Linked DNA regions of Caenorhabditis elegans. The protein of the gene in region 1 interacts with the protein of each later gene in a pairwise test. Each region holds a gene or a part of one and is shown on either strand. Other genes may lie near its edges.

The links. Proteins that work in one complex are often made in the same cells at the same time.
Region 2: the proteins of lov-1 (region 1) and stam-1 interact in a two-hybrid assay, tested with the Caenorhabditis elegans proteins (one study listed by BioGRID).

What each region holds. Positions count from the first base shown.
Region 1 is NC_003280.10:10,117,312-10,124,951, reverse strand, and holds the start of lov-1 (Location of vulva defective 1), read left to right. Parts: upstream 1-3,126; coding exon 3,127-3,174; intron 3,175-3,222; coding exon 3,223-3,408; intron 3,409-3,456; coding exon 3,457-3,589; intron 3,590-3,850; coding exon 3,851-3,991; intron 3,992-4,036; coding exon 4,037-4,176; intron 4,177-4,221; coding exon 4,222-4,546; intron 4,547-4,774; coding exon 4,775-5,406; intron 5,407-5,457; coding exon 5,458-5,536; intron 5,537-5,690; coding exon 5,691-6,238; intron 6,239-6,283; coding exon 6,284-6,362; intron 6,363-6,411; coding exon 6,412-6,989; intron 6,990-7,038; coding exon 7,039-7,117; intron 7,118-7,640. Other genes in the region: F27E5.7 (DUF2147 domain-containing protein), read right to left, coding at 62-205, 314-451, 1,949-2,074. UniProt on the Caenorhabditis elegans protein: Required for two aspects of male mating behavior: response to hermaphrodite contact and vulva location. Acts in the same pathway as pkd-2 and atp-2 in response behavior. May be required for ciliary targeting of pkd-2.
Region 2 is NC_003279.8:5,900,266-5,906,228, forward strand, and holds stam-1 (Signal transducing adapter molecule 1), read right to left. Parts: upstream 4,431-5,963; 5' UTR 4,375-4,430; coding exon 4,369-4,374; intron 4,063-4,368; coding exon 3,955-4,062; intron 3,773-3,954; coding exon 3,581-3,772; intron 3,379-3,580; coding exon 3,181-3,378; intron 3,128-3,180; coding exon 2,877-3,127; intron 2,713-2,876; coding exon 2,280-2,712; coding exon of another isoform or gene 2,250-2,279; intron 2,183-2,249; coding exon 1,997-2,182; 3' UTR 1,840-1,996; downstream 1-1,839. Other genes in the region: tyr-4 (ShKT domain-containing protein), read left to right, coding at 1-2, 260-594, 962-1,291, 1,345-1,769.

The sequences.
Region 1 (7,640 bases):
GAATTGAAATAGGCTATTTATATACATACAAATGATGAGAATATTCAAAAGACAACAAAAGTTATTCAATTATCAGCTTTTTATCTCCCTTTTCCTCAGGAAATTTCATATAGTCTCCAAGAACATGAAGACCCATTTTTTCGATTATGAAAGCTTCGCCAGATAATCGGTCAGTTGTTGGAGCATCCTCGATTGGTTTCTCATTCTGGAAATGGACAACAATTAATTTAAGATCCAAAGTGTTTGACTTCAAAATCATTCAAAGTTTATGACAAAAAATTATGTTAGCCTCCATTGCGTGTGTGTAAAGTACCTCGTCTAACCAAATTCCACAGGTTTCAGTGCGATTCTCCTTACAAAAGTAGAATAACTGAATTGGTGGTTTTCCTGCGTCGAGCTCTCTTCTCACACCCTCTGCATTCTTCCAGTTTTGCTTCCATTCACATTTAGTCTAAAATATGCGCATTTATTTGTATTAAATTCAGAGCTTTCTTACAAAGATTCACTTATACAGTGTGAGAAAGTTCTATAGGACCCCCCTCATTTTTGACGTTTCACCTATATTGAAAATTTTTTTTGAAAAATTTTTTCCGTAGATTGATTCAAAATGTCAAAATATGTGGACACAAAAATTTTCAGACTTGTACCTCTAAAACTGGCTGCGTACGGAAAAAAGTTGGAAAATCAGGTGTGCAACTTCTATAGGACCCCCTCATATTTTTGACGATTTCACCGGAAAAAAATAGTTTTTGAAGTTAATATCACGTAAATAGTTATGAAAATGAGAATAAACACAGTTTCAAGCAATTTCATATTGGCACTTGGTGGTTGACCCACAACTGTCCTCTAACAGTCCTGTAACAGAAGTTTCCACGTGTCATCTGCCCTATCACTACCAAACTTTACAAAATGATACATGACACTGTTCTAACAACATCCCTAAGTTTTTGGAAAAATCCGAAAAGTTTGAGCCCCGCTGCACCGCTGAAACCGTACATGGGCCTCATTTTTCAGGCCGTTTCTCCGTTTCAGTGTGTATAACTCGGGTCCCGGTGAACCCCCGACATTGAAAATTGTTCAATGAACTCTCACAATCATTGTGAGTGTATCTGTGATTAGCAATAAGGATTTACCAGCCTCTGAGTTGAACCAGAATAAAATTGTCAATAGAGCAAGTTTTCTGTACTAATAATGATGTTATTATGCATAATTTCATAGACTCAGGGTAAAAGTAAATTTTTAGAACATTGCAACCACGAAATCGTGACCATTTTTTTGTGGATGCTAGCGTAATGTTCATACGAGTTTATTGAACAGTTTTCAAAGTCGGGGGTTCACCGTGACCCGAGTTATACACACTGAAACGGAGAAACGGCCTGAAAAATGAGGCCCATGTACGGTTTCAGCGGTGCAGCGGGGCTCAAACTTTTCGGATTTTTCCAAAAACTTAGGGATGTTGTTAGAACAGTGTCATGTATCATTTTGTAAAGTTTGGTAGTGATAGGGCAGATGACACGTGGAAACTTCTGTTACAGGACTGTTAGAGGACAGTTGTGGGTCAACCACCAAGTGCCAATATGAAATTGCTTGAAACTGTGTTTATTCTCATTTTCATAACTATTTACGTGATATTAACTTCAAAAACTATTTTTTTCCGGTGAAATCGTCAAAAATATGAGGGGGTCCTATAGAAGTTGCACACCTGATTTTCCAACTTTTTTCCGTACGCAGCCAGTTTTAGAGGTACAAGTCTGAAAATTTTTGTGTCCACATATTTTGACATTTTGAATCAATCTACGGAAAAAATTTTTCAAAAAAAATTTTCAATATAGGTGAAACGTCAAAAATGAGGGGGGTCCTATAGAACTTTCTCACACTGTATAATGTCTAGTTTTAATAATTTTGTTTTTTTTGACAAAAGGAATTTTTTGAATTGGGATAAACTTACATCCTGTAAAATACTGCACACAACTGTATTTTCTGGTAGTCGAAAATCGGAAAATGGTATTGAAAAGCCAACAAGACTAGCAAAAGTAGAAATAAATAATATAGAAATGCGAGAGATTCGACTCATTTTCAGAATGTCGAGACTTGTCAAATGTCAAATTGTGTGAGAGAATTCGAAGAATAAGTGATAAAAGAGGAGAAAAAGAAAAAGACAAATGATAGAGGGGTGTAATGCGTAATACTGTCTAAAAATATCTTAACATCACGAAAAAGAATAAGGGAGGAGAACATAAAGTGACGAGATAGAGAGATATTTTTTGTATTTTATTATCTCTTTATCGGCATATTCCGTTCATCAAACACACAATTATCGGATACCAACTTGATTTGAACATTTCATTGAGTCATTCATAATCACAATCTATAGACTTTGAACTAACAAGGAAATGGGAAACAATCGAATACTGTAAAATTGTCAGACGAAATTATTGTTATTTCTATCTGAATTGTGCAAAGTTGAAAAAAATCCCACTGTTCTCATCATTGTGCCAAAGTTTCGTTTTGAAATAGTAATATTAATTGGGAGCTACACTGAAACTGGATTTTCAGTAAAAATTTTGAACAGCGAGTGTCGATTTTTTATGTTTATAATATTCAGCTATCAATTAATAAATCTGTAGTTTTAAAAAAAATTGGGTGTTTGGTTTGGAAGAAAATAATTTTTTTGGAAATTGAAAAATATATTAATTGGGAGCTAAACTAAAACTGGAATTTCAGTCAAATTTTGAACGGTGAGTACCGATTTTGTGTGGTTATATTTTTATCCAGACATTAATAAGTAAATTTGTAAAGTTTAAAAAATTGGGTGTTTGGTTTGGAAGAATTTTTTTATTCAAAAATTTTTATTTCAATTTATTATTCAAATTTCATTAATAAATTTCTTTACAATACAGCTTTCTTTCCCAATTTCTAAATCCTCGTCAGTTTTTCAAAAACTTCAAAATTTCCATGGAAATTGTGGGCCGTTAACGTATCCCAGCGATGGTCCTTCGATTCAGCCCGCCTTTTCGCTTTTCGACAACTTCATTTTTCAGTTGTTGTCTTTTCTGCTCTGAATTCATTTTTGTTTTCAGGCGAATTTTTACAAAACTTCTACAAGATAACCTTCCAGCTCATTGGATGAAGAAGTCAAACTTCTTTGTTCTATTGCTACTGGCAATATCGGCGGTGAGTGAAAAATCTCAGAAGGAAAAGCTGAATAAAACTACTTTTAAGATACAAATTGATGGATTGCATTACCAACTTCTTGACGGGATCGCAACTTTTCGATTAGACAACGATGACACAACAATTGGAGGAGTTCCAAGGAATTCACAAGGAGTCGTTAAAATCAAATTGAGCTGCGGATTGAATAGACTTTCAGTTGAGAACAAGGTTACGGAAGTTTCAAGTTTGGAATTGGTTAGTCGTGTATTTTTTTAGTTGTAAAACCTTGTTGTTCCTATTCAGATTCACAACTGCATCCAAACAGAGACCAGGCTTGTCGGACTCTTTTTGAACTCAACTTGGATTACTTTGAATGAAGTGAATGATGACGATGAGATCAGTATTGCTGTGGAGGCGAAATATGAAGTTTGTTATGGTAAGGATTATTATTTGGGGAAGGTTTTGTGCGTACCTATGTATAATGTCGGCGTTACTCACCTGGAAGACCTATGCCAACAAAGTCTTGACTTGGTTTGTGCCGATTAATCTTCTTTGCAAGGTACTCAAGTAGATACTCAGGTAGACACATAGGTAGGCTATGAGATAGGCATGAATTGCGCATTCTGAATCTGGTGAAACGTTATTTGCATATGTAGTGCTATGTGTTTCTAACATTTTAATAGAAACTCTTTCTCAGATGACGGTATCGACAGATGTGATGGCTCCCTATGGTGGCTCCAAGTCGGTGGAAACGAGATGGCGTTGCTGGGCTACCGAGAGAAGTGTGAGAGCGGAGAGATCAACGAAGAGTATGCGAGAAGAATGTGCAAGCGACCTTGTCAGTTCTTAATTGCTCATGAACATTGGCTAAACAGTATTTCAGATCGTTCTGAAAAGAGCACAGCTATCAGTGATAGTCAAGGAGTGTATTATGATGGGCAGGTACTTAAGGGTGTCAGGGCAAAACAGTTTAGCATGAGGACTTCTGGATCACCTACTTTGAGAAGAATGAAACGAGACGCTGTGAGTACGATTTCTCAGATAGTGTTTACTTTCATTTTATTCCAGGGTGATAATACTTGCGACTACACTATTGAGTCAACTTCAACCTCGACTACAACTCCAACTACCACAACCGTGACTAGTACCGTGACATCTACAACAACCGTCCCAACAAGTACAAGTACGGTGACTACCGCAATGAGCACAAGCACATCAACTCCATCAACATCCACCACCATCGAATCCACGTCAACAACGTTCACTTCCACAGCATCCACGTCGACATCATCAACTAGCACAACTCAGCAGAGTTCTAGCACAATCACAAGCTCGCCGAGCTCCACCACACTGAGTACAAGTATTCCAACCACTACAACACCCGAAATCACATGTGAGTTTCGGACGCACAATAATAATTACAAGCAAACCAGAATTTGCTGTTATGATTGAGAGGCAGGAATAAAATTGTTAATAATTTTCTTCAAACCCGTTTGTATTGCCAATATTTCAGATTTTATACAATTACAGTTTGCTCAGGGTAAAACAAAGCAGTCACTATTACCGATCACCTTGTTGTGCATTGTTAGTTATCCAGAAAATCCTTAACGAAAATTTTCAGCAACTTTGTCGTCTCTCCCGGATAATGCGATTTGCTCCTACCTTGACGAGACCACTACGTCTACCACTTTCACCACCACTATGTTGACATCCACTACTACCGAAGAACCATCTACTTCCACAACCACAACAGAAGTTACATCTACATCTTCTACTGTTACAACAACTGAACCAACCACTACTTTGACCACCTCGACTGCTTCAACGTCAACAACCGAACCATCGACGAGTACTGTAACTACTTCCCCGTCAACATCCCCTGTGACTTCTACGGTGACATCTAGTTCAAGCTCCTCGACTACTGTAACGACCCCAACAAGCACTGAGTCCACATCGACATCTCCTTCGTCTACAGTAACAACCAGCACAACTGCTCCTTCAACATCAACTACTGGGCCATCGAGTTCTTCTTCCACTCCAAGTTCAACGGCTTCTTCGTCTGTGTCAAGCACCGCTTCTTCTACTCAATCATCCACGTCTACTCAGCAAAGTTCAACAACAACAAAATCTGAGACAACTACTAGCTCGGACGGAACTAATCCAGACTTCTATTTTGTAGAAAAGGCAACTACAACGTTCTATGATTCCACAAGTGTGAACCTAACGCTTAATTCCGGCCTCGGAATCATTGGAGTAAGTACAATATTGAAGACTGCATTATTCAAATGTAACACTGTATTTCAGTATCAAACATCCATCGAATGTACAAGCCCTACATCTTCTAATTATGTTTCAACCACTAAAGACGGAGCATGTTTCACGAGTAATTGTTTATAAAGACTTATTATAAATTAGAGACAGGCAAAATCTTTAATTCTGAAAACGTTTCTATAAAAACTTCAAATCGGAAAAAAAGCAAACCTTTTTCGGGCGATAGTTATTTAGATTTTTTACACATATTTTTTCAATATATTCAGAAAGTGTATCAATGCCACGTCTCGGAGGGACGTACCCTGCTAGCACATTCGTTGGTCCTGGAAACTACACCTTCAGAGCAACTATGACAACCGACGATAAAAAAGTTTACTACACGTATGCGAACGTTTATATTCAGGAATATTCTTCCACCACCATAGAGTCGGAATCTTCTACATCTGCTGTAGCAAGCTCTACGTCATCTACACCATCAACTCCATCTTCCACATTATCAACATCCACAGTCACAGAGCCGTCATCCACACGTTCAAGCGATTCTACGACAACGTCGGCTGGGAGCACAACTACTTTACAAGAATCCACAACAACTTCCGAAGAAAGTACTACTGATTCCAGTACAACTACCATCTCGGACACATCCACAACTTCTTCCAGTCCGAGTTCTACCACTGCTGATTCAACTTCCACTTTGTCAGTCGATCAGTTCGATTTCATCTTGGACAGTGGATTGTCATGGAACGAGACACGTCACAATGAAGACAGCATCAACATTGTACCTTTACCAACTAATGCCATTACTCCTACTGAGGCGGGTTTAATAAATCGTTGAGCCAAATGAAACGAATGATTTTAGAGAAGCCAAACATTTGAATGCAGAAATGTGTCTACTGAGCCTTTTCTTATAATTAAGGAATCCACTTGCTTAAACTACTGTAGGATTAACAAACTTTTTGAAATTATTGAATTAAAGCGAATTTCCAGCAAACACGGTCCTAAACGCAACTTATTCTTCTAATATTCCAATTCAACCAATTGAAACATTTCTTGTTGGCATTGGCACCTATGAGTTTCGAATCAACATGACGGATTTGACGACAATGCAAGTGGTCAGCCACATTTTCACATTGAATGTTGTTGCGGATTCAACAAGTACATCCGAAGTTACCAGTACAACTTCAACTGGATCTTCTTCCGAAAGTTCAGCCATTTCCACAACTTCAGGAATTGAATCTACGTCGACTTTGGAAGCTAGCACGACTGATGCTTCACAAGACAGTTCTACATCAACATCGGATTCTGGCACAACTTCAGATTCCACCACCATAGACTCATCTAACTCAACTCCATCCACTTCAGATTCATCTGGTTTATCTCAAACACCATCCGATTCATCAAGTGCATCTGATAGCATGAGAACAACAACTGTGGATCCAGACGCAAGTACAGAAACCCCTTACGACTTTGTATTGGAAAATTTGACATGGAACGAGACAGTGTATTACTCTGAAAATCCATTTTATATTACACCAATTCCAAACAAAGAGCCCGGAGCTTTAACGGTAAGATATTCAAATCAATCTTACTTAAAAAAAACCTTAATATTTTAAGACTGCTATGACCTGTCAATGTCGAAACGATTCTTCTCAGCCATTTGTTTTACTGAAGGAAAGCAATTGCTTGACAGAGTGTGAGATTTTGCCTACTAGGGAGTGCTTTTTGTACTCCATGGAAATATGAGTCGGAAAACTACTTTTCCGGTAGTTGATATCATTTTCTACACGATTCTGAAAGAAAATCCTGCCGGTTTTGGGTTTTAGTGTGAAAAGTTTGCGTTTGAAAATACCACCCTAAATTCAGTTGATTTAACACTACGCGACCCATATTTCATGTGCAACGGGAAAGCCAAGTACACTGAAAACTGGCGCCGCTCCCGCCGTTATCCACTGGACCACCGAAATTATGACTTTGCTTTGAAAATTTGAAAGTGAGTTTTCAGTGTACTTGGCTTTCCCGTTGCACATGAAATATGGGTCGCGTAGTGTTAAATCAACTGAATTTAGGGTGGTATTTTCAAACGCAAACTTTTCACACTAAAACCCAAAACCGGCAGGATTTTCTTTCAGAATCGTGTAGAAAATGACATAAACTACCCGAAAAGTAGTTTTCCGACTCATATTTCCATGGAGTACAAAGAGCACTCCCTAGTTAGC
Region 2 (5,963 bases), on another chromosome or scaffold:
AAGTGAGACTTTTTTGAAAATTATCAGAATAACCTAGGAAATGTTACGCAAATATTTGAAAAATTACAGCTATGCTATTTTTTGGCAGGGTTTAATTTTTTTAGAATCAAAAACTTTCAAGATAAAAAATTCATGTGAAACTTGAAAGATTGTCGTACAAGATATAAGATCATTTTTGATGATACATTTTCACACACTAAAAATTTGGAATATTCTTGATGTCTACCGTGGAAGACTTACTGGAATTTGTAAATTTCAGATTCCTTTTCTGTGACACTTCCACCGGGGCCGCCCGTTGTGTATCTCGTATTCGTCCAGGATCTCAATGTGGTCAATTCCGTGTGAATCCATGTTTCTCAGGAATCTGCCAAAACGGTGTATGTGTTCTCTCATCAACAGCTCCACGTCCAACACCTGCTCCAACAACTCCAACACCTCAAAATCCAGTACAATCTCAAGAATCATGTTTCAATGAGAATCAGTGTTGTGCATCATGGGCAGCATCTGGGGAATGTTCGAGGAATACGGCTTATATGAATGAATGGTGTAAGGCCAGTTGTGGTGTTTGTAAACCCAAATATCGACTGGCTGATGGTGAGTGTATTTTGTATTTTAGGATTTTTTAATTAAAAAATATTTAAATTACCACAAGGGTTTTTTCGGTAAAATTCTTTTTAAAAAGTTTGCTATTGTAATTTGGCAATTTCAGAAAATTAAAGGTACATGGGGTTATTTGAAAGGGTCCCACCGGGAAAAAGTTTATGGTATCTTTATTAGATTTTTCCGGCGCCGTTCATGTTTAGAAAGATAAAATTGAAAAATATAAACTCTCACATAAATGAAACAAATAAAAACTGACCAAAAATAATAAAAGTTCCTCCAAGCCCCATAAAAACCAAATAAACCCATGCACCTCTAAGTTCGTGTATCGAAAAACTGCAAAATTACGATAATTTTCCAGATTGCACTGATCGTCATACCCAATGCAGTAGCTGGTCCCGCTCCGGTGAATGCACCAAAAATCAACTCTGGATGACTGAAAATTGCCGTAAAAGTTGTAATAAATGTGGTAGATCACGTGCTCAAGAGTGTGGAGGAGGTGGTACTACAGTAACCACGACGACACCTGCTCCAGCTCAACAGTGTGATAATTCTGATGGTTGTTTCAATGAGAATGTTTGCTGTGCTGTATGGGGATTAATGGGAGAATGCCGAAAAAATACAAGATATATGGCATGTAATTGTCGAGTTTCATGTGGACATTGCTATCCTGAAGATTACAATTATGGATGTAAGCTTTATTTTTAAAAAAATATTTTTATAATTAAAAAATATATATTTCAGCATGCGTCGACTACCATAGATCATGTGCCGGATGGGCTCGTGTCGGTGAATGTCAGAAAAATCCATGGATGGCTGAGAATTGTAGATCAAGCTGTAACAGTTGCTATACTCAATCAGAGCTTCGTAGAATGTGTGGAACTACAGCTGGATCAGTTGCTCCAGTTGCACAAGTTCGTCAGACTAATCCATCTCGTCAACCACCACGTGGAGGTTGGGGACGTGACGATTTCGGAGATAATGGAGGATGGGGTGGAAATGGAGGTGGTGGATGGGGAAACAATGATCCATGGGGAGGATCAAGATGGGGTGGTGGAAGAGGTGGATGGGGTGGAGGTGGATGGGGAGGCGGTGGATGGGGTAAACGATCCATTCGAGCAGCCAATGCATCAATTTCAATGCCATCTTTTGATCCGGACCTCTTGTAATTTTTGTTACCTTTTCTCAATTTATCCGATTATTTTCGTGTATAATAAATATTTGCCTCAAACTCAATAAAGAATTCATTTTTATCTTATCGAGAACTCGAGGAAGCAAAAGACTATACAGAAACGGGTGGCGAATCGAGAAAAATAAGTTAGAAGTGATCACAATATCAATGGAACTAGTTACAGATTCAAGGAGGAAAAGGTGATATTCACAACAAATCAAAAAGTTAATATTGTTGAGGCTGTGAAGACGGAGCAGGCCATTGTTGTTGCTGTTGTTGAGGTTGGGGAACAGAATTCGGTGGGCATGCGTACTGTGGTTGTGCTCCAGGAGCCGGATAGTGTTGTGGAGGATATTGTTGTGGCTGCTGTTGTTGGACAGGACCGGTAGGTGGGTAATATGCTCGGTTTGGCTGAAAAATACGATTTTTTGAATTGATAGGCATTACCGTGAAGCTTAGAATGAAAAATTTCAGTTTTCTAAATATTTTTTTCTGAATAAAAACTGACTGGTTGCTGATAGTTGTACTGTTGCATTGGTTGTTGGTACATTCCTTGACTTTGATGCTGAAATCCTCCCTTCTGAATCGCATCATCATAAAGTGCGAGCACATCACGAATAGCCACATCGATTTGTGCTAGAGAGTTGCTCTGTCGATCAATACTAGCCAAATGTGCATCAATGAGATTTCCTTGAGCATACGAGGCGGCTTCTAGTTGGGCCAAATCCTCTGGATCCTGTCGTTCACCGGTAGGATCACATTCATGGAGTACTTGAAGACAACGAACAAGGATTGCTTCATTAATTGAGGCTACAACTTCTGGGGCTTTCTGTGATGAATCCGTCTCTTTTGATTTTAGATCATCGAGTTGATTAGTAACGAAGCTGGATGGGAAAAGTCCCTGTTGGGTACCAATACGACCAGTCCACCAGTGGGGATTGCTGCAAAAAATTGTTTTTTTTTTGATAATTGATAGAAGCAGTCAGTAACGAAAAGGTTCGGTATGATTAATTTTAAATTACAAAAAAAAAAACTGAAGAACTTCCTGATTTGATTTTTAAGCGATTGCTTTCAATTTAAACTAGAACACATTTTTGTTGCTTACCTTTCATCAGTAATTGTAATAATATCTCCAGCAACAAAAGATAATTCATTGCTTTCAGCAGCCTCAAAATCGTATAACGCTCGAACATTCTTTTCCGGAATATTCGAATTAGTCTGAACTGCTGGACTACTTGCTTTTGCTGATGGATACATTGTGGATGTTGATTTTTTTGCTTTTTCCTGTTTCTCTGCATCCGCCAATGAAGCAGCAATGGCTTTTGCGATTGCTTCTTCTTCCTGAGCAGATCCAACCTATAATAATTATTAATTTTTGATATTTATTGCCGCGAACTTCCACAACTCACATAATTCGGATCATTTGCAAACTTTGCATCAATCGCTTTCGTTTTACTTTTTGGATCATCCACAACAAATGAGTAGCCATCAGCAACAAGATTTTTGTGAAGAGTGACGATAAGTGACAGTGATTGTTCAGTTTTGCATTCTGTATCCACCCATTTTTGAACAGTTAATCGCATTTTTTCAGCAACTTGGCGTTGACTCTATAATAATTGTAAATTTTTGTATTTTTTTTTGTAAACGCGGTGAAATGTATCGTATTTTCGTATTATACTTATTTTTCTAACTCTATTTCTCTTTTTTATCTCTTTTCTGCGTATACTATATCTATTAAAGAAATACAAAACTTCATGAAAGAAATTTTGATATTTTGTTTAACAATTTCAGATTTAAACAAAAACTCACCGATGTACAAAGAGCTTTGAGTTCATTGATAAATTGTGCAGACGATACTTCCTTTCTGAATCTTTCTTCACAGTTTGCCCAACACGAATCAAGTACAGAAATCGCTAGAAGGACAACATGAGGATCACGATTGTTGAGACGTTTACGAAGTGATTTGATTCCTGTTTTCGATCCCTCGAAGTCGTTATTAATCTGAAAATTTTAAACTAAAACATTAAGTTTAGTCCAAAATCAATGATTTTCGGTGAAAATCAGCTAGCAAATTTAAGGAGGAAATTTTAATTTTAAAATATGATTTTTTATCAAACGACAAAGAATTCTATCTATAAATCAGTGAAAAGGTTTATACATTTTTTAAAACAAATTGAACGAACCATATCACAAAATGCGAGAATTCCCTCCCAATTCTCAACAGTGATAGTTGGAGCAGTGATTTTTCCGAGCAAATCCTCATAAGCAGACATTGGAAATGACTTTTGTTTCTGAAAATATAAAAAAGGAATATTACGAAAGAAAATTGAATCAATAACGGGTTTGCTTGTTGAATGTGTTAGTCGGGTGAACTGAAAGAGAGAGTGTAGGGGGATGAAGAGACATTAGACGGGTTAAGACACTGACGCATATGCTTTGTGTGTTCGTTCGTGCACACTTTTTTCTATGTTTTTGTTTTGTTTTCTTCCTTTCCGAAAACTTAATCATTTTTTACTGAATGAAAAAAAATCTATTTGAATGAACAATTACTCTTAACACTATTTTTAATTAAAGTAGAGATAGGAAAACGAACAAACCTTCATTGTTACAGCAGACTTTCAGCACGTGATCAGGTTCAATTGAATGAGTCTCACTGAAACTGAATATTTATTTCGAAATAATTTTCAAAAGCGTGATATTTAAAATATTGAGGGCAAAGACGATCGATATTCAATTTAGTTTGAGCAATTTGTTTATTTTTTCGAAAAAATGAATACTTTTGCCTTTCGCAATCGCAGATTTTCGAGAACTTGCGTCTCACGCGTGTACCAATCACATTCATGCGTTTAATTGAAAAAAAAAACATTTTAAAACTGCAATGCACATTTTTATAGAAAAATTAAATAACTTTCGAGAAAAATTAAATTCCAAAGAGAAGAAAGATTGTGGAATAATTCAAAAAAAATGATCTGAACAACTGTAGAATTCGTGGCAGACCCTCATGCTACAAATCGCGCGCTCCTTTAATCTTTCAAATTTTTTTCTCTGTTTAAACATGTTTTTTTTTAATTTTCAGTGTCCATGCTTTTTCTAAACTTTTAAAACTAAATGTTACTCAATAATTAGTTCAAAATTATTAAAAGTAGATTACTGGGACGTTTTTAATGTTTTTTCCTAAAAAATAATACTTTAGAACCTGAAAACGCTTCGTAACAAAATGTTCAATTTTTCGTTTTCAAAAAAATTTGTTCAGACTTCTATTTATTCCATTCATATTTCTTACTTCTCATCGTAATAGAATTTTTAAAAATTGTTGAAAAAAAATCCAAATCCAAATTGTTTATAAGCACAATTGTTTGCACTTTCATTGTTGATTCCACCTGCTTTTCGTTCTTTTCTCTCTCTCTCACCACTCTTCCACTCTGTGTTCATATAAATTTTCATTTCCGTTCGATTCTCTTCACCTAATTCGTCAAAAAGGGGCCCAACAACAGCCACAAGCGGTAGCTGCTGCCGATAGCGAGCCATAAAAATACATCGAAAACGACACGAAACATTATCGATTTAGTTATTTTTTCTATCTAGAGCCAATTCATATTTTTCTATCTAGAGCCAATTCACACGAATTTTTGCATGTGCTTATCAGTTTTTCGACGAAATTTTGTAAACTTGGCGAGTTGATATAGATTAATCAGTGTAATTTGTCCTGTGTACACTGTCTAGAGTTTCCATGTTTGATTTTTTTCAAATTTCAAGTTTGTGGTTTGCAAATAGCTTTGAAATTTTACTGAATGTTCTAGTTTTTTACTAACTCATTTGAATTTTGTAATTCAATGAAATTATATAAGTATTATTCTGGATCGGTTATCAATTTAATCGAAAAAGACGAAAAGTCAATCGACTTGATCATGCAATCCGCGCAAAACTGGTCTATGGCATGCGTAATACAACACATAATGTTCATCACCAACCCCGTGCCTCCCAAAATACACATTGGTACTCATTTTACTCACAAAAACTTTCATAACTTCTTTCTTTAAAGTTATATTTTATTCTTAGTCTTCTATATCGAAATTTTTTTTTGAAATTCGGTTTTAAACCTTAATGGTTTTAATTATTAATTAAAGTTAAAAGTGGACTACGACTAATGGGGAAATTATTAAAAACTATTCATATGCTGTTGAAATTACCG